Styela clava: one gene and its partner. The protein of the gene in region 1 interacts with the protein of each later gene in a biochemical or structural test. Links are inferred from orthologs where the notes say so. Each region holds a gene or a part of one and is shown in the gene's direction. Other genes may lie near its edges.

Region 1 (10,145 bases):
ATAAATTGTCTCTTATAGCAACAATATTAGGCTAGAGATAAAATATCAATTGTTTATCAGCATAATATATAATAGCACAAAAAACACTTGAGTTTCAGGTAAGGGGAAATTCACAAAGTCCCAAATAGGAGGAATATATTATTTTCGAGCGCAAATATATATATTACTTAGAAAGACTGATTTGTCATTCTTATATTTTCATAAGAACTGTCATTTCCACAGCCTGATAACCTTGGGTTTAAGTATTTATTTGTCTTCGATCGTTGTACGTGTTCACAGTAAATGATTAGTGAATGTGAATTTATACTGGAATGACACGAACTCCAGCAAACTGCAAAAATCAATCAAAATTCATCGATGGATTTGTTTACTACACTCTATGCCTGGAGGCGTGTACTATCGAAAACTTTGACATAAAGAGTTTGATTTTAAAGTAATGGAAACTTTAACTTGTGTCTCGGAAGTAGCATACATCAATATGTGACATGTGGGTGATATTGTTGAGCATTTCTAACAGTAATTTGAGTTATTACACGTAAGGAAACGTGTTTTCTAATTGTTTGTGTTTCATGTGTAACGCTATACTACAGATTTGACAACGTGAAGACCTCGCATTTGCGCTTTTTTTTTGCGCTGCCAAATAGCCAAAGGCGCGATCCGTTAGGGACCGTTCAGAAAAATACAGAATGAATGGTCAAGAATGTTATGCAGAAGTTCGTTACAGTAGGTCAAATTTGTTTGTAATCATGAAAAACTGTAGGTGATTAACTAATAGGAATGGGATGAGTGAGTGGGTTATAATGCTTTATAAGTTAGATGTAGAAATTATTACAGGCCAGCGCGGCGACCACGGTGGGCCCGCACTTACATTGGAGGCCCCGCGCTAATTTTAGAGGAAGAATAGTAAATTTAACAAATATCAATTATAACATTTTTTTATATACCGAATGTTTTAGCCCCGCACAAGCTCGCAAAGTGAGTCACTGTAATCGTGTTTTTGTACCTATAAAATATAAAGACGAAATAATTTTTCATTTATTATTGCTAGCCAGAGTAGGTCCGGCGCACTTCATTCCGCACACGGCCTCGCAATAGATAATGTCGGTCATGGATTGTTGTATGGTCCCAAACGTCATTCGAATGGCCTCATCCGTAGAAGCCACTTTGGGCTTTGGGCTTATTTGACATAATGTCCACGGATGACGAACGAATATTATTCTGTTTTTGCTGCTCAATGACTTTGGTTAGAAGAATAATGTTTCCCCCGAAAAATACGTTGTCAGTATCAGAAGAAAACGAATAATTAAATTATCTGATTCCCGCTCCGTGTACCCCGTTACCAGAAAAATCTAGTGCTTGTTACGTTATTCCTACTGATACCAAATATCGATGACTACATTCAAAGGAGAAGTAGTGCTGTAGGAAGTGGGGTGTATTATTAAGTGTGAGAATTAGTAGGAAAAATGAAATAGACAAAGAGAAAGAACATAGAGCCCAATATAAAAAATCCTAGTACACCGCAATACATTTTGATTGACGAAATGATAAATCGCTCTTTTAGTATTATTAGGAATAACAATTTTTACCAAGGTCGTTAAAATTTGAAGTTGAGTATTTTGATACTAAATGAAATTGTCTAATTTGTTTTGACACTTTTATTCCAAAATTTCATGATCGTGCAGTTTTTGAAGTTCAGAAATCCGCAAATTGGATTAAATCACCAACGTAGATTACAAAATACGATTTCGCTAATTGCTAAATCCCCCGAAGCGAAAAAGTACTTCAAAGTTACGACGACGACGAAATTACCAGCTGATCGCTGTAAAGGGGATCACGGCAAAGTATCAAATTTAACAGTGCGTTGTCTAGCACCATAATCGACCAAGGGTGAATCGCAGTAACAGGGCGCGATTTATCACTCTCTCACATTCGGCATGGGATAATATATAACCTCTCGATTTCTGAATGAGGGAGATCGTTGTTTGTGATGAAACAAAGAAAATCATTGAAGCATGTACTGACTCATTTGTCTCGACAGTGTGAAATCTGCAAAATTGTTTTTCTGTTTTTTTGTTGTTAGCAAACTGTCGTTTGGAGCAGACGTGCTGCTGTCGCTGTCACATATATATATGAGGATATTTTGGAGTTTGGGAATGCTAGAAATATTTGTGGTAGAATTTCTAATATATAACATATGCGGATTCAATATTTCCAAAAGTAGACACAAGGCAAGAGTTCCACGTTCATAATTTGAGAGGAAATATATTATTTCGACATAGTGATATGACGAGCCATATTACCTCTTGCTCGGTACCGGTAACGGGTTCAGATCGTTTGACCAGTTAATTGAAGAACGTTCAAGAATATGGATTTTGTGGGTCAGCGTGTTTAACGAAATTGCAAAATTTTTCAAACGCTTTTGAGTTTGCATAATATTATGAACATGAAACTTTTCGCAAATAACAATATTTTTTCTGTGGTCTGTGACGTCACTCTCAGCACATCGTGGAAAACGAACAAAATATTTACAATGCGAGTGAGTTTGTGGCTTTGTTGTGTTACGAAGCATTTTATTTTGTTTGACAAGCGGTAAATATTTTCTATTTGTGCGGCCAACTAAAGGCGGTAGTGCCACAGGGGCTCTGTTTGGAATTTATAGTTTAATTATACATTTAGTGCAAGGTGTCCATAAAGTCCCCTTGCAATTTCAATTCTGTTTTGAAGTCAGTTTTCAATATATCTTAACCAGGTTTGTTGGTTTTTAATCAGTAATTGTTCTGGTATATATACTTTATTCATTACATTTGTGGTGGCATATGATATCGATAAATTCCCTTTGCAATTTTAAAATATTATTTCAGACTTTATGGACCCTACATATTGGTGTATGGCAATCTGTTAGTCTACGATTGTCATTACATGTTCTGAATGTTCATCTGGGTTACCAGTCGCATGTTCGCCTGTTTCTGGGACCTAATATGCTTTTATATTACGGTAAATGTTAAGACCTACGGTACTGATACTGAGAAAAATAGAGATTCATCCACTTATGCCTAGTAAAGGCGATTGATTGAAATATATTATTTATTAAACCTTGCTTGCGTTCCCTCGTTGACTTATTAAAATTTAACCTTCATAGGTTGTGAATTGTCGAGATAAGATCGAATAGAATTTCCTGTTTATCTTTCAATGTATATGAAAGTTGCAATAGCACTTTCTGATGTAATTTTTCATAAAGAAGAAAAATAAAACGCGATGGCTAGCCTACATGTTTCAATAAATACACTAAGAACAAGTTTTTCCAATACACCGAAATAAATTTATTTGAAAACAACAGCACCCATTAATTGTGCTCAGTGTTTGTTTACGCTTAAATAATGTTTTTATTTCGTACCAGAGTTGATTAAATTATCCGAAATGAAAGAAGATTTTTTTCAACCCATTTTCACACATATACCTGTGATATAAGGCCAATTTTAAATTGTGTTTCCCCAATACGAAGACCGGACACCGACCAACCATGTAATGTAATAATAATCATTTTCGTCTCCTCAATGTACTTGTGTATTAGAATATTTCGTTGTAAAATCATCTATTCAATGCAAAAATATAATAAAATTAAACTTCCGCAGTGAAGTTCAATAGAGGGTGTTTTCTATTAACACATATCCTCGTCGATTGAGTAATTTAAATATTGCTTCGTGTAAATTGATTATTTACAAGTCGAAATCAATGTCCCATTGCGCCGCAACACAAGTTTGACATGTTTTTCCTTGTTTTGAATTTCCGTAACTAACAGTTGGGGTTACGTGAAACTAACTACCTTTCCTTGCTCTATGGCTTTGTGCTGATGAATCCGTATGCGTATTACGCAAGGGTGCTATATAGCAAGAGTGTAAATGACTATTCTATTCAATTCAAGAGTCTTGCTGCACACTTACACAAATATATTTCTGTAACGTTTCGTCTGACCAAGGTCAGACTTCTACAGACAAGCATTTTACAACTATGACAAGAAACGCAATTGCATGCACATAAATAATGGCATCAAAATTTGGGTTAGAAAGAAATAACTAAGATTGGAACAGTGCCAGAACTCTAAAACCGAAATTTTGATACCATTTTTTATGTGCATGCAATTGCGTTTCTTGTCATAGTTGTAAACTGCTTGTCTGAAAAAGTCTGACCTTGGTCAGACGAAAAGTTACAGAAATATATTTGTGTAAGTGTGCATCAAGACTCTTGAATTAAATAGAATTTAAATTTCCGATTTAGAGAAAATTGATTTGTTGTTTATTTGATGGTTAATCGACGAAAGCCAAGTTGACGAGGTGCAGACGTGTTTCGTGGGCGGAATCAAGAACGACAACTTCGAGTAAATATGTTCGCCGTATCAGTATTAGTGTCTTATATTTCTTGTATAATCGATTTTAATCGAGAGCAAGCTTTTTACGGTACGTTTTCGCACATAAGTGTGTTTTTTATTGCCTCATTATTTTGTTATATTTCATGCTTGACCACCGTCATACGAATATTGCAATGATGGAATATCCCTGTCAATCATTTTTAGTACTATCATTTAAATTTCACATATTTTTGCCCAAACACGAATATCAAGAATTAAAAAAAATGATTGAAGAAAAATTTGAAGGAAGATTTTCGTGTACATTAGCCTTCCATCGCATCATACATACCGATACTAGAAACTTGTGCAAAATTGCAGTGTACGCTTATAAATAATGCGCAATATATGAGTACTGGATGAATGTTTATTGGAATACCTATGTGCCTTATACTATTATTTCATCATTATATACAATAAAACTGTAGTGAAACATGGACCATATGCAACTATCCGTATTGCATTGATGTGTGATGAACAATTCAGGTCAGGTATATCGTCACTTCCGGGATTATTGTCCATTCATCGTGTTTAATCGATGATTATTGAGTTGAGAGGCTACGGTTGGCCATTCGGCAGAGAATATTATTTTATGCAAACATTTTCTGACTTTAGGTTAAATGGGACTCTAAAAAGATTATACAAATAACCAATTTTCATCACCAAACCTTTTCAAAGAGTACATCGAAAGAAAATCTTACCTGATAATTGTGTGAGCAAAATAAATCGAGTGGAAAACCGCTAATAAAGCAGCGTCTTTGCGGAACTGGCGATTTGTACCATAGAGTAGCCTATCACTATTCCAAACGGGTTTTGCACGAACTCGCTTCCCCTAAAATAACGCCGAAAACTGGAATGGCGCAATCGTTTATATTGCTTTAATAACTTTTGATGGCATGTAATTGCCGGCATAACAAATTTGTTCGCTATATTGCCTGCAAATTTGGGTGTCGCATTTCAAACTTAACGCAGAAACCCGTTCTAAACAAATTTGATTTTGGTTGCATGTTATGAAGGAAGTATGATAAAAAAAATTTATTATTTTGGCGTGTGGTTAAGAATACTGGTGTTCAGGGCAAGCGATTTGGTTGAATTTGAAGCTCAAAAAAAATGCTTAAACTCAATTTAGTTTCGAATTCATAATTTGACGCATTATTGAATGTAAATTTACCGAATAATGTTCACAAATTGCTTTCATAAACAAATTTCGATTTTGCTCACAATTGCGTTACTGTTTAATACAGCGTTTTTGGTCGCCATTTTGCGGTACTTCAGATCTAGCAAACAACAGGTAATGCCATGTTTATTTAATATTAAAGAATTAATAAAAACGTCGAAATGACGACGGAATATACAGGTTTAAATATTAACAACGCGAAGGTTGCTTTCATACACTGAATCCTTGTAACCCAAACGAGAGAGGTTACTATCGTTCACAAAATTGGTAACCCTCGGTCATATCGATATGTTTCGCAAGTAATGTTACGTCACAGTACACGATTGACCAATCACAATGCGAGAATATTTCACAGCCAAACAAAACCAGCTGACGCTCCGCGATTCGGTAGATGAAAATGTTTCCCTCGGAAGGTCGGTGGCGGTCATCCCTCGCTCTTCGGTTAGTGATCGTTACTTGAAAAAAGTATCAAAAAGTGCGCTTTAGGCTGTAATATTACTAGCTAAGCTTAAATGGATAGTGATGTTGAAATAAAGACTATTCTGTAAAACTGTGGGCTGGTAAGCGTGTCAAATTACCAATTTCCTGTGACCGCGTCGGTTCAGCGCTGCAGCAAGTCAGTCGCGAGGTCTTTTGTTGCAACATGTGCGCGAAATTTGGCAACGGTCTAAGATAAATACACCTTGAATAAAGGGTTGAAATATTTGTGGTATTGTAACTTAGACAGACAAAAGGATGAAGGAATATCATTAAATATAGTATACCAGAATAGAGTGACGTGAAACAGTGAAAGGTAGCCTACCGTATGAATGCGAATTTGCGATTTTCTGTAGTTAAATGCGAGGGAATTGTCAAGAAAGTATGTAGTTAATGTAGCGACTTCATTGTCACTATATTAGTTACAAATATTATATTAAGTCAATTCAACACTGATTATTTTTCAGACAAAACTTACTTATTAAAGAATTTTTATCGAAAAAAACTTGCACAAGTGGTGCAAACATGAGTCTTCAATTAGATTTATACAATTGGCAATCTGGTCAGATACTGTGCTATGTGTCAAAACCTGACACTCGACCTGTTGTTCTGGAAGTTGATGTCGACAGACATGCAATTGGACAAGATATTTTAGAGAAGGTACGGTACTTGATTATTTTGTAACTAACTTTTGAAATAAACTTGATTATACCAATAGAAAAAAAGGGGTCTCGCGAAGTAAATGCCGTGACTGCTTGAATACCGCTGAACACAAATGTGATATTGAATGCTGTGAGTGCTTAAGTAACGCTAAACAAAAATGGAAATTGAAAATACAACCCAATTTTTTTTTAAATAAAAAATCGTCTCTCGCAAACACAATATCCCTGCTCAGTTGAAAATTGAGTAGGTTTGATTTGAACTAAACGTGTGTTTCAAGAGTTTCTTTCTGTGTCATACAGCCTTTTTTTAGTTACATTAATATTTCATAAATTATCATATTTACCTAGATATAATAAAGTGTAGAACTTCAGAAGCAGAATCTTTCAAATGTTTTCTCCAATTTTTGCTTTCTTTGAAATCTAGTATTTGAAAATTTGGAATTTTTATACCCAATTATTGCCAAAATAGTAGTATTTTATACTATATTATTATTAATATAGTATTAGTATAATATAATATAGTATAGTAATATTTTATTAGTAGCCTACTTCTATTTGAATAATTTGTTTGGCTTAAAAGTACAAAATGGCAACTCATTAAAAAGATGGAGAATTTTATATTAAGTTCATAAAAACATTTGATTCTAAAAGGAAAAGATGACTGTAATCTTCTGTAATAAGCAAGATATTGACAGTCATTTTTTTATTACTTCTCTTTGATTTTTTTGCTTTTGAATTTTAATCCCATATGATGAACAGCAAGCACTCTTGTAATAAATTATGCATATTAATTTCAAAGGTCTGCGATTTGATCGGCACCGTCGAAAAAGATTACTTTGGTCTTCAAGTATGTCCAGTCAAGCGTGAACCTTTCTGGATGAATCTCCGCAATAGGGTCATAGGTCAAATATCTGGTCAACCACCATATCGACTAAGATTGCGAGTGAAATACTACATTCAACCTCATCAGTTACTGCAGGAATCTACCAGGTTTGTGGATTTTTTTTGTTTTATATCAATTTATCAAGTATTCGACACCAAACCAAAATTACGATTTTGTCCTCTTTTCTCTGTTGGTTCTAGTTTTCAAGTGACAAATTTATTTCCATCAATTTATCAAATGATTAATTGGCAAAGCATAGTTGTTCAAAACATCCAATTACGGTATTCAAATGCATTTCTTCATATTGAATATTTTGAATTATTATTTCATTTGGAACATATCACTCACAGCTGTTTTAAACATACTGTTGTTTGGTTCATTCATTTTCCTAAACATGATTCAATATAAAAATCAACTAAAAAAGTTTTGTGGAATGCCAAACATGCTAATATTCAAAAGTTAAAAAGTAACCATTAGTGTAAATGTTTTTATATCATATCTTACATGAATTTATAAAAGGATTCAGGATTCCAAATACACTAATGCGAACTATCTAATTCTATACACAAATTTATAAAATTCGTCAACTAATGAAAAAAATGAAACTATTTCAGACAAATCTTCTATTATCAACTTCGCCAAGACGTCATAGACGGGAAGTTAACAGTTCCGCAAAACAAAATCCCTCAGCTTGCGGCGTACCTTGCACAAGTTGAACATGGGGATTGTTCTGCCATGGATTCAACGAATATCTATAAAAGTTTGAAGTTCGGGGACAAAGTTTTGACAGATGAAGATATTACTGGGTTAGTATCTAGCAGATTTGAAGACACTATATTTCTTGCTATATTAAACTGAACTAGCCCATTTGATTGAATCCTAGCTAAGATGGTAATCATTGAAAAAACATTATGATTGGTGTATTATTCACAGATTAGAATATTACAAATGTACTAATTAAAAGATATATTCAGTTTGAATTACCTGCTCAATTTTTGCGAGTTTGAGATCATTGATTAAACAGTATTTCGAGTGTTGTGATGAGTGTGGCTACTGGCCTAACTTTCACAATACTGTACCTAAAAATATTGTTAAATTTCATAACATAATTTCTGTTTGCCCTTTTTCAACAATATTAATTTTGTTATGGAATTGGTAGTTTAAGTAAAGAAATATTTATTTTTCAGAATTGCTGATTTTCACAAATCATTAGAAGGACAAACACAATCTCGAGCCATGTACTTTTTCTTGAAAGAGGCAGCAGATTTGCCAAGTTATGGGACAGAGGTTTTCAATGGTAAAATTGAAGTACCGCACTCCCACCCTCATATGCCAAATCTCTCTCCTGCAGACACAACCAATGTTTTGATGAGAATTGGTCCATTTGGTCTTGAAATTGTAGAAGAAAAATCGGAAGAAATTAGAAGGTGAGAAAATTTTTTGAATTTATACCGTTAGAAAACGATGATTTGAAAGGATGAATTGGAAACTTACCATAATCAAATGAATTTTTATAAATCATTGAATATCTTCTTATTCCGGTACTCAATATATGCATTCATTGGATTTTTTTTTGAGTCAGTGATTATTTATTCCTACTTTCTACAAATTCATATATATATATATATATATATGTGCGGAAGGTATAAAAATCAGGAACTCATAACCAATAAGGACTTATCATTCGCAGATTTTGTTAGTCATCCATGACTAGTTTAATTAATCACGGTTGTCCTTGAAACTGAATTTAACTTATGATTTCTCTGACCTGGCTGTTCACTGTTTCCTCTAATTTAACAAAGCTGGTGAAACATATGTATATGATATGAAAAACACACGCAGCACGAGTGAAGATAACTATCCTAAGTGATAAAGAGTCTATCACAAAGCACACTAACACAAATGTATTTCTGTAACGTTTCATTGACCAAGGTCAGACATCCCCAGATATATATATATAATTTGATAATTGAATTATATATTTGTGTTAGTGAGCAAGACTCTTAAATCAATAAGATTCTTGAGTTAGCGATGCGATACCGTCAAAAACCATTTACTGAATTTAACCTTTGACTTCTCGGGTCTTGTTAACTCTAATTTAACAAAGTTTCATATATTCTACTTTTGCTTTGGAATTCTTTGTAATTGAATTCCTCATAAAAACTTGGATTTAACTTATCTACCATTACCTTTAGTTCAACAAAGTTTTAATAAATTCCTTATTTTTCTTTAGAATACCATTCACTGCCGTTCAGCTTGCAACGCACACAGGAAAAATGATTGACATTGACACTGTTCTGGACGATGGATCTACAAGTACTCTGACTTTTCGAATGAGCTCAGAAAAATCAAGTAACGCTTTATATAGGTAAGAAAAAGCCCTAATGACAGTAGAAATGTTGGTATTCCCATAGTGTGTGGCGTGTGCACCAGGTTATGCCATAGTTTTATTTCGATTTTCCTTATTTTAGTTCTAACAGGAGTTTGTGGGCAGTTTGTGTTAACCAAGTGAATATACCCCCTACCATACACTTCCGTCCCTTT
Region 2 (10,075 bases), on another chromosome or scaffold:
CCCACATAGTAAAAGCAGGTATGGAAATACTTTACATTACAGAAAAATTAATTTACATATTAAATAGCAGACGAAGGAAATATTTTGCATTGCAGAAAAATAGCTCACATAGTTAATAGCAGTCATGAAATATTTCTCACTATTGATTACAAAAGTATAATTGCATCCAAATCAACAGTATCTATATGACTATATAAAGGGTCGTTAAAATTAAATAATATGCAAAAATCATATTGATAACAAAATGTATTCTAATCAATTTTAATATATCTAAAACAAAATCTTCATAAATATTTTTTGTAAATTTACAATACATGAAAATATGTGAAACAAACTCAGGTTCTCCATTACATAATACACACATTTCATTTCCCAGAGTAATTTATAGTTAAAATCAGTATTTTTAATAAGTGAACGAATAGCTCGCAGAGCCATGTGATTCATATGGAGGACAGACCTATGATTGAGAGAGGCCGTGGTTCGCCATATATTTAGGCCTTCTTTTCGGCTTTCCTCTCCCCTTGGATAAATATGTAAATCCCCTGTTATATCAATTAATAAATACATAAATAACCGCACTCCTCTCGGCGACTGGTTCATATTCTGTTCTGTAGATACGTTTTCTGTCTAATAGATATGCATTCCCAATAAGCATATGCTCATAGTTGTATGGTTTCAGCGTACCATACTTCGAAACACAAAATCAAATATGTATTGAAGAATTAAAGACCTCAAGTCAAGTTAATACGGCCAATTTCGCACCCGACTCGGCTGAAGCAAGGGATTTTGGCAGCGAGCAACGCGTTTTCTTAATATGCAACGAACCATTTAGCTGGACGACGTAAAAATGCAGGGAACAATGCCATAATGAGCAAATCTTTGCAAGTTTCCACTCATTGTATATATGCTCATTGGGATGATGCTTTAAAAAAAGAATCATTATTTCTCTATCATGGAGTGCCCAAGTTTAATTAAAATCACAAGAGAATAGTATAGTTTCCTGGGGTGAGGGAAGGGGAAAACATATTTGATTTTGTGCGATGACCGATAAGAGGAAGAGAAGTCCCAGCATGGTACTTTAACAAAAAGCATTCACTCTATTGATGGCTGTATTTAAATTTGATGTAAATGTAATGTAGTATGCTATCCTAGACCTAATTTGCTGTTCTTTTGTCTTTGTCTAATTCCGCATGACAATAGAATTAGAACGGTGATCTAAATATTAATTCAGTCCATTGTTTCATATTGTATCCTGCTGAGGTGGCCTGTGGAGTTGAAATCGCACTCTGATGGGTGGTGGTTTGGTAGCCTTCGAAGTTCCACGATGGTGGTTTCAATCCAAAGGGTCTATAATCGTCCCCTCATTTTTCAATTCACCTTAAAAAAAAATATATGCTCCGAAACAGTAATATGTTCAAAACAGAGAGTTCGACTAATATGACGATAACAAATGTTGCATAAGTTTGGAACGAAATTCTGAGTTTGATTTCGATTTTTTGATGCTATTAGGTAGGGAATTCCAAGCTTTTGGTCCACATACTGGAATGGATTCTTGTGAGATACTTTTAGCAACATATGGAATAAAATTTTTTTCTTTATTTCTGCTGTTTGAATTTGGGTTCGCTCTGAACAATCTGTTCAGGCTGGATGGAAGTTGCCCATTGTAGCAAGTGAACATTATGCTGCATAGTTCAAATTTGGCTAAATCCTCAACTCGTAGTAGCTTATATTCTTTAAATAAGTCATCAACTTTTTCTCGATTTCCCCTATAGAAAACTATTCTAATAAAACGGTTGCATACACTTTGAATTTTTTTGATAATGGACGTTTGGCGATGAACATCAGTTGAGGCACAATATCGAATATGGCTTTCTATTAAACAAGATGTATTCAAATTGTTGGCTATTTTTGTAATAGCACCAAGAGACGACCTTGTTTTCGATAGAACCAGGTTTGTGTGCTGTTTCCAACACAATTTATCATCAATTATAACGCCCAAAAATCGCGTCTGGTTAATCCTTTCTATATTTATTCCATCCAGATTTTGTTGTGATGTTGGACACTTTTGCTTTGGCGCGCTAAATACCATATATTTAGTTTTCTCTACATTAATTGTGCTTGAATATTTTTCAAATCCGCTTTTGCTTTGGTCAAAAGTTCAGGCAAGTTTTTGCCTTGAAGATATGGCGTTGAGTCATCAGCAAACAGTATGATATCAGAGTGAAGATGAGAATTTGGAAAATTGTTAATAATGATTGAAAAACATAATGGAGCCAAAATAGAACCTTGTAATGTGCCTACAGTCAAATTACAGTATGTGCTGGATGCTACATCATTGTATATTACTACTTGTTTCTTTTCTGATAAATAGCTTTTGAACCAATTGTAGCTCTGACCTCTAACATCAATATGGTGCAATTTGGCTGTAATATGTCATGGTCAATACTATCAAATGCCTTGGATAGGTCCAAGAACATACTAAGAGTATACCCATTCTTATCAAATCCTTCTAAAATTTTACTGACAAGTAGAGATGTTGCATGACATGTCGAGTGATTATGGCGAAAACCAAATTGCTGGGAATAAAAGAAATTTTTTTGATCTAGGAAATTGTTGAGTCTTTTGTACATGATTTTTTCCAGTACTTTGGAGAATGCGGGAAGTAAGCTGATTGATCGGTAGTTCTCTACATTTTTCGCATTTCCTTTTTTAAACAATGGCATAACTTTGGATAATTTGAACTGGGTTATGTATTTACCAGATTGTAAGGAGCAGTTAAAATATGTGTGTTATATATTATATATATAAGGGCACAAATACACTTTCAGGGCATAATTCGAATTACTTTAAAGGGAATTCCATCTATTCCACACCTGGTTTTAGGCCGAAAAGATTTCATGATATTTTGGACTTCGAAATCCGATGTCGGGGCAAGAAACATGGAAGTTTTACTGGGCTGTCCCATATATTGATTAAAGTCATCCCTTGTGGTATGAGGAAACCGTTCAATCATTTTATTCCCAATTGTAGAAAAGTGTGAATTAAAATGATCTGCTATTTGACAAGATCAGAGGTTTCCTGTCCATTAACAGAAAATACTTTTGTTAAATTTGGTTTAGAGCGTCCAAGCAGATCGTTCATAGTACGCCAAGTCTTCTTAAGATCATTACGATGTCTACCTAGTAATGACTTATAGTAATTTTGTTTTTTCACAGTTATCAATTTCTCATATTTTTTCTTGCATTCTGAATATTTGTATTTAGACTGTTCTGATTTTACAGTAAGATAGTTTTTGTATAGTTTATGCTTTTTTTTCTGCATTTTTAAGAGTTCCTTGTCAAACCATTTATTAATATTTTTAGTATTTCTTTTCTTTAGAGGGAAACAAGTGTTGAAAGATTCAGTAAAATACTCATTGAAAATTCTGAAGTCTATATCGGGATCTGTTTTGCTGAACACGACAGAAAAGTCACTTTGTTCTAGCAGGAGTTTAAAATTATCTAAATTTGAGATATTATATTGCCTAAGCCCTAAAGTATCCGTTTTCTGTCTTGCAATGTTTTTTCTTCAGTGGAATGCAAACTAGAACTGGCAGATGGTCTGAAATAGGATCGACTATTATTGCACTAAGGGGTTTACAATCAAAGATATTAGCCCAAATGTGGTCAATGATTGTAGAGCTGCTTTGAGTGATTCGAGTTGGCTATGATACCACCGGATAAAAAGAAGTTGAGTTCATCAGTTCACAAAATTCATCTACAGTCTTGTTATTTGTTTCAAGAAGATTATAATTGAGGTCTCCCATGATAGTACTATTTTTCGATAAGGATTGGAGTGTTGATTCGAGAATACTGATAAATTGATTATTGCTTTGACTATCTGATAAGGGGGATTTGTAAATTGTTTCACAGGTCACAATTCTATCTTTCAAATAAATGTCTACAAAAATGGATTCAAAAATTCGGTCATTCATAACTGAAATGTCAGGTCTAGCCTTGAAAGTAATATTTTTTTGATGTATAGACCAACACCTCCACCCTTCAAAGTAACACGCGAATTTGATAAAAAAGTATAACCACCCAGGTTCATATGAGATCCTAGCTGGTTTGGTTTTAGCCATGTTTCATTGACTGCTATTAAATCTGGGCAAATTGTCATTGAGACTATAAGAGCTTCAAGTTTGGAAAAATTGCTTGGGTTGGCCAAGGAACTCATATTGATACACATTGTGATAAGTGGGTTCATGTCATCCTTGCATAGGGTATCTAAATTAGTGGCAGAAAGGTATTGGCAATCAGACATACAAATTTTTGTGGAATCGCTTATTTCATCATTATCAATATTCGGCGGTGAAGCCTCAGTAAAAAATTCGTTGAGAATTTCTGGCATAGCCTGGGTATGAAGGCATTTGGGCTGGATTTCATACTTGTCATTCTGATCCGTAAAAAGGGGGAGAAACATCCATAAGCATTGCATAATCGATAACACGAAATGCATGATGTCCAAAACTAGTTGAGGTGAAAGGTTATCTTTTACGTGCGAAAATGCGGAACTGTGTGTTGATTAGTGACGCACCACTACCGATAATTCTGTATTTACTAGCTTACCAACGTGTTCAATCCATGCGATGTGTCGTCTTGGCAGTGGCGGTAGCGTTCGTGATCAGGATGCTGACTTAGGTCGTGTCGGTATTCTGCGGAAGGGTGCTGCGGTTCGGTTCGACACGAAAATTATAAACGTGAACAGTGAATAATTCACCTTTCAGTCGGTGACCGGTAACCTTTAAATATCGTTAACTTCAGTTTAGACCTATTTATGTATTTAGTGCAGCAGTAGTGTGGCAAATCGTTAGGAATACCTGAATACGCTCGCGACTGCCAGATCGCACTTCCTGACCTCTGATTACCCTGTGTCTGTGTGCGGCGTTGCTGCTGTGCTGTGGGGGTGAATCCAATGTGGGGATAATTATGTGTAAGAGGATTGCCGCACTCCTCGCTGTTGTGGGAGCATTATTGCTGATTTTCTATTTTGTTATAAGTAGGGTGGTGTAGCCAGTCTGCGGACGATTTCATCCAAACCGCTATAAAACGAAAACCAATATTTCTGACCGGAACCCGTTAATTTTTTCACCGTAGGTGCATTGGCATTTATTCTACACGCTGAACTTCGAATTAACTTTCTACGACCAGGGGTTAAAGCTATACAAACCACCAAAGTACGACACTCTGAAGACGTATTTGCGACCGAACGACCAGTGTGCGATCACGGATTTCAAGCCTTGAACATCGTTTCTGCTGCGTCGAGACTAGGGCATACGCAGCCATGCGTGAAAAAATGGGCTTCTAATTGCATTTCTGACCGTCATATATTTTAAGAACAAGATTATTTCAAACAAAATTCTTCAAGTTATAAACAAAGCACCGCATCACAGCAATCAAACAGACAAAAACACGGTGGTCGCAAATTAGTTGACAAAGATATTATTGACGTATTGGAAATGCGCATCCCCCTACTCCCCCTCCTTTGAAGGTAGTAACGCGAAACTTTAAAGATGGTTAAAAGAAACACAACTCTACCCACCTGTCAAGTTTCATCTCTTTATCCCTTATATTTGTATGGATTTTCAAGCTTTTTTGAAGGAACAATGGGTAGTTTGCGACATGGTAAAATGGTCCGTTTTTTTTCTTCGGTCAGGTTTTCGGTCGTAACTTTTTTATTTGTGGCCGCATTTTAGTGTAATTTCGCAGAGCTACGAGGGATAAGGGGACGATACCGCGTGAGAAATATCGTCACGGTTCGTTAATTTTTTCGGCATTAATTTAATCGATGAAGTTGATGGTCGCAGATAGGTCATGGCCGCAAAGTGGGTAAGCCACCCTAGTTTAATTGCTATTAAATTTAAGCGACATTTTATTTTGAATATCTTATTCCTTTGAAAGTTTGACCAGCCTTATTTAAAGTACAAAAATGGGTTTTTGAAATAACGACATCAATTTGTTTTGCCTATGTTTCATTCATTCCTTTAACGATTTCAATGTTTTGTTTGACACTTTTAGTATAACAAGTTTTTATGCAACTTTTTTGTCGTCAAGCCATGATTCTTAGATGGACATATTCATTTCTGCATTTATCTTTGATTCAGTATATTGCAGTTTCAGGAAAAAAAGACTTGGATCTTTACTGTGGAGGTAGGCCTAACATTATCTGAAAACTGAATGTTTTTTATAAAATAATTTTTTTTATATGTGGTCATTTGTTTTTGAAGGATTTTAAATCAGCAATTATGCTCAGGTTGTGCTTAATCATTGGTAGACTATAATAAATATTCACTAGAAGGTAAAGGGTAAAATTTTAAATATTTCTGTATTTGGGAAATTTCTCTCAATTTTTCTGAACTTTTTTCACATTCTCTCTTTTTACTGTCATCGGGTCAATTTTAAAAATTTGATTTACTGTAAGCAAACAACAACAGTATTTTACATACTGACATAAATGATTCCAAGATTAATGATAATGAGATACAGTAAACAAATAGAATCTGAACTTTGTTTCTGGCGTTCGCTGCCTGCCATGTCAGTTTTTTATTATCAGCTATCTGCAAAAGTTTTATTAACCTCGTTTGAAAATATATTCTTCACCTAACATGTTGGCATTGGCAGTACAAATTTGATAAAAATGACTCACTCTTGAAACAAATTTAAATCTTCCCAGTATCTATTCGGGTATGATACATCATGGCTGGTAAATAAATCAAATTTTGTTGTTTAGTATTCTTATCCTAGTCGAACATTTGACTGAGACGAATTATCAATTCACCTGGTTCCTCACTCAATTTGATTTTTGAAACCTTTTATTTTTGAGCAGCATGTAAAGCCATTGTCAACGAAGTTGAATACATTGTGAACAAGGTTGACCCAAAGAAAACAATTGACGTTGGAACTTTTAGACTTGATCCAAATGGAAAACAAAAGTCATCAAAGGTGACGTTATATCATTTTAATATCATTTATATATAAATATGATGCATAATTGTTCATAATGGAATTATTGAAGAACTTGAGACATTTTGTTTCCTGGTCAGAATTTATTTTTTGAGAAACAATTAAAACTAGAGCTAGTTCAATACCGGTGTAATCTTCCAATTAACATTTTCCAAATTGACGGATGAGAACAGAACAGGCCTAAGTCACAATTTTGAGTTTTGGGAAAAACGCAAAAAACATTTGGAATTTTTTTATTTTTGAATTTCTAGATTTTCACACTTAGTAAAGACCTGAGCTCTGGTTATTTTAATGTGGATGTGAATATCTTTGTAATCAATATTTTTTGGCACTTCAGCTTCAATTCCTTCCTGCTTTGTTAACCCCATAATGGACTTTGGCCCATTCTTCTGAATTTTTTTGTATGGGATGCAAGGCAAAACAAGGTGACTTAGGCCTAAGTTGCACTGAACAAATTTTTAGGGATGTAAGTTTCAGACATTTTATTTCTGATGTTTATGCCCATCCTATTGGAACTTGGGACTATCTTTTTTCTGTATTTTGGGGTTTTGAGCCATGCTCTACAAGGTGGTGGTCTTAAAATTCTGAATTTCATAATATTAAAAGTTTTAGCTGGACTTAGGCCCATTCTGTTCTTAACTTCTATAGTTCTAAGTCCAGCTAAAATTTTTAGTATTGAGAAATTCAGAATTTCAAGACTACCACCTTGTAGTAGAGCATGGCTCAAAACCCCAAAATATTGAAAAAAGTGAATTTTGCAAAAATGTGACTTAGGCCCCTTCTGTTCTCATCCAACGAAATATCGAATGTTAGACTGTGTATTTTGAATCTGTATGTCATAAATTTGTTTTAAATTGAAATATGCTTAAAATGCAACTGTATGAATACAACCAAATCTTGATTTATGAGAAATGTGCTTATGTAGTTGTTGACAAATTTAGCCATAAATGTTAACGGAAACTCGATTGATCATTATCTCAATTAATAAGATCCTTGAATTAATAAAAACAAAAGGTTTCATATGCCCGATCTGAAATACACTTAACTGAGTTATTGGAAGATGTATGTTCAAAAATGAATGGCTATGCAGAATCCAAATCTGACTCAGGAAAACGAGAATATGTGAGGACAAGTTCTCGGGATGGGGAGGCAATTGCGTTGAACAACATTTCAATTAGTGGCGACATCTCCAAAAAATTGAAATATGCTGTAAGGAAGTAGAATGTGTGATGCATGGCTCTCTTCATCATACTAATTTGTTGTAGTTGATTTTACTTAATCCTTTGATTGGAATCCTGAAGATATATTTTTGGTCAACTATCTCGAATGATGTCATATGCCCTGTGTATGGAACCTAGCTAAGTTTATCACAGTCTGTTTCATTCTTTTAATCAGCTTATTACCTCCACCTTTTAGTTTGTCATACATACATTATCTCCTTCATTTGTCATATAATTGGGAAGGAGAGTTTGGAATTTTTCAGGCCATTTGTGCTAAAAGAAAAAACATTTAGTTCAAACTCACCAGGGGCGCCATTCGCCGAACTTCTTTATCGTTTAACGTGTTAGTAAAGCACCCACTTTCTCGTAAAAGGCAAAAATGGTCTTCTCGAAGTATCGTTAATATTCGAGAGAATTTTTTGCTCACCAAAACAGACGTCTCGTAAAGTGCCTTCTTCTCTCATTTTACTGAGAATCTGTATTCACCCAAGTTCTTTAACGCGCCGGAGTGCTCGCAAACTGACTAGGGGAAAATTTTACTCGTTAACAGTAGTTTGGCCAGTTTCTAGCATGAATTCAGGTTAAAATGTATGTGTGTTTATTTGTAACAGTATATACATAATAATTAAACGGTACAACTAAGACGGGATACATGTTCAATACCTTACTGGCCTAAGACAAGTATGTGCGACATGCACCCCAACAAATGCCGTGGTGTTTGCATACAAAAATTGGTATGAAAATTCCCTAAATGCCTAATTTAGGTAAGAGTGACTGTAGTCTAGTAGCTGTGGACCCACCAATATATGCCAACTAACACTGTACCAACATCAAATATGGGATTACATATTCATCTATTTTGTTGTCTGTTACAGAAGTAGTTTAACAGTATGTATCTCAGAATTTATTTCATTCATCCATAGATTACTGCAATATTCCCCAAACTTTAAGTCACAGGCTGCAAAATGTAAAACAGACCGTTTCGAGAGAACTTGCGTGACTGGGCGTAAGGTTTTTACAAAATGTTTCGTGAATCGCACTTAACGATATGTAGTAACTGTGTTTTTGAGAGACAAGGTTACGTGCTCGTAAATGCGGCTTTTTACGAAGTTTGGCCAATGGGGCCCTTGATCTTATCAATTAAAGTGATCAGTCAATCAGTCATACATTGATTTCCTGGCTAGTTGTACTAAAAGAAAACAAAAACATTCAGTTAAACTCACCCGGTCTTATCAATCAAAGTGTTTGTAATATCTGATCATTGTCACTTGTCAATCAATTCCATTATTGGGATTTCTGTGTTGCACTGTGTAGACAAAAATAATTTATGTGTTTATCAGCTTGACTTGATCAGCATGTTTAGCTAATTCTGTTTTTGTTCTTTTTCTCTCACCCGTATATACAAAAACAACACACACCACATTGATGCAAAAATACAACACTATACATATATACACAAATGTACAAAATTGCATATACATTTCTGTGCTGATAAAGATAATCCTATATTTTACACTTCTAAAAACAAAGCTAATATAAAACATTCACATGACAAAATACAAAAAAAAACAGGTTTCATATGCTAGATCTGAAGGTCACCTAACAGAGGTTTTGGAATCTGTCTGCACAGAACTTTCAAGTGATTATGTGAGAAATAAAGATAAAGAAACTGGAAGAATGAGGTGATACTGAAAATAAATAGCAATCAGATGAATATTGAAAATATGAATTCTATATACCAGGGATGGCGAACCACTGACCCGCGGGTCACAAAGTGACCCACCGCTTTTTATTGTGACCCGCAAAGGCACGAATAAAATTGAAAAAAAAAAATGCTAAAATATCAGTGATAAA

What was found.
Region 2: the proteins of E3 ubiquitin-protein ligase MYLIP-like (region 1) and protein canopy homolog 1-like form a complex in vitro, tested with the Homo sapiens proteins (2 studies listed by BioGRID). The link is inferred for Styela clava from reciprocal best matches to the Homo sapiens genes MYLIP and CNPY2.

Annotation. Positions count from the first base shown.
Region 1 is NC_135262.1:4,059,131-4,069,275, reverse strand, and holds the start of E3 ubiquitin-protein ligase MYLIP-like, read left to right. Parts: upstream 1-5,961; 5' UTR 5,962-5,970; coding exon 5,971-6,020; intron 6,021-6,523; coding exon 6,524-6,716; intron 6,717-7,517; coding exon 7,518-7,708; intron 7,709-8,215; coding exon 8,216-8,407; intron 8,408-8,788; coding exon 8,789-9,028; intron 9,029-9,834; coding exon 9,835-9,969; intron 9,970-10,145. UniProt on the Homo sapiens protein: E3 ubiquitin-protein ligase that mediates ubiquitination and subsequent proteasomal degradation of myosin regulatory light chain (MRLC), LDLR, VLDLR and LRP8. Activity depends on E2 enzymes of the UBE2D family.
Region 2 is NC_135252.1:241,690-251,764, reverse strand, and holds the start of protein canopy homolog 1-like, read left to right. Parts: upstream 1-6,032; 5' UTR 6,033-6,070; coding exon 6,071-6,188; intron 6,189-6,864; coding exon 6,865-6,980; intron 6,981-8,015; coding exon of another isoform or gene 8,016-8,210; intron 8,211-9,793; coding exon 9,794-9,903; intron 9,904-10,075. UniProt on the Homo sapiens protein: Positive regulator of neurite outgrowth by stabilizing myosin regulatory light chain (MRLC). It prevents MIR-mediated MRLC ubiquitination and its subsequent proteasomal degradation.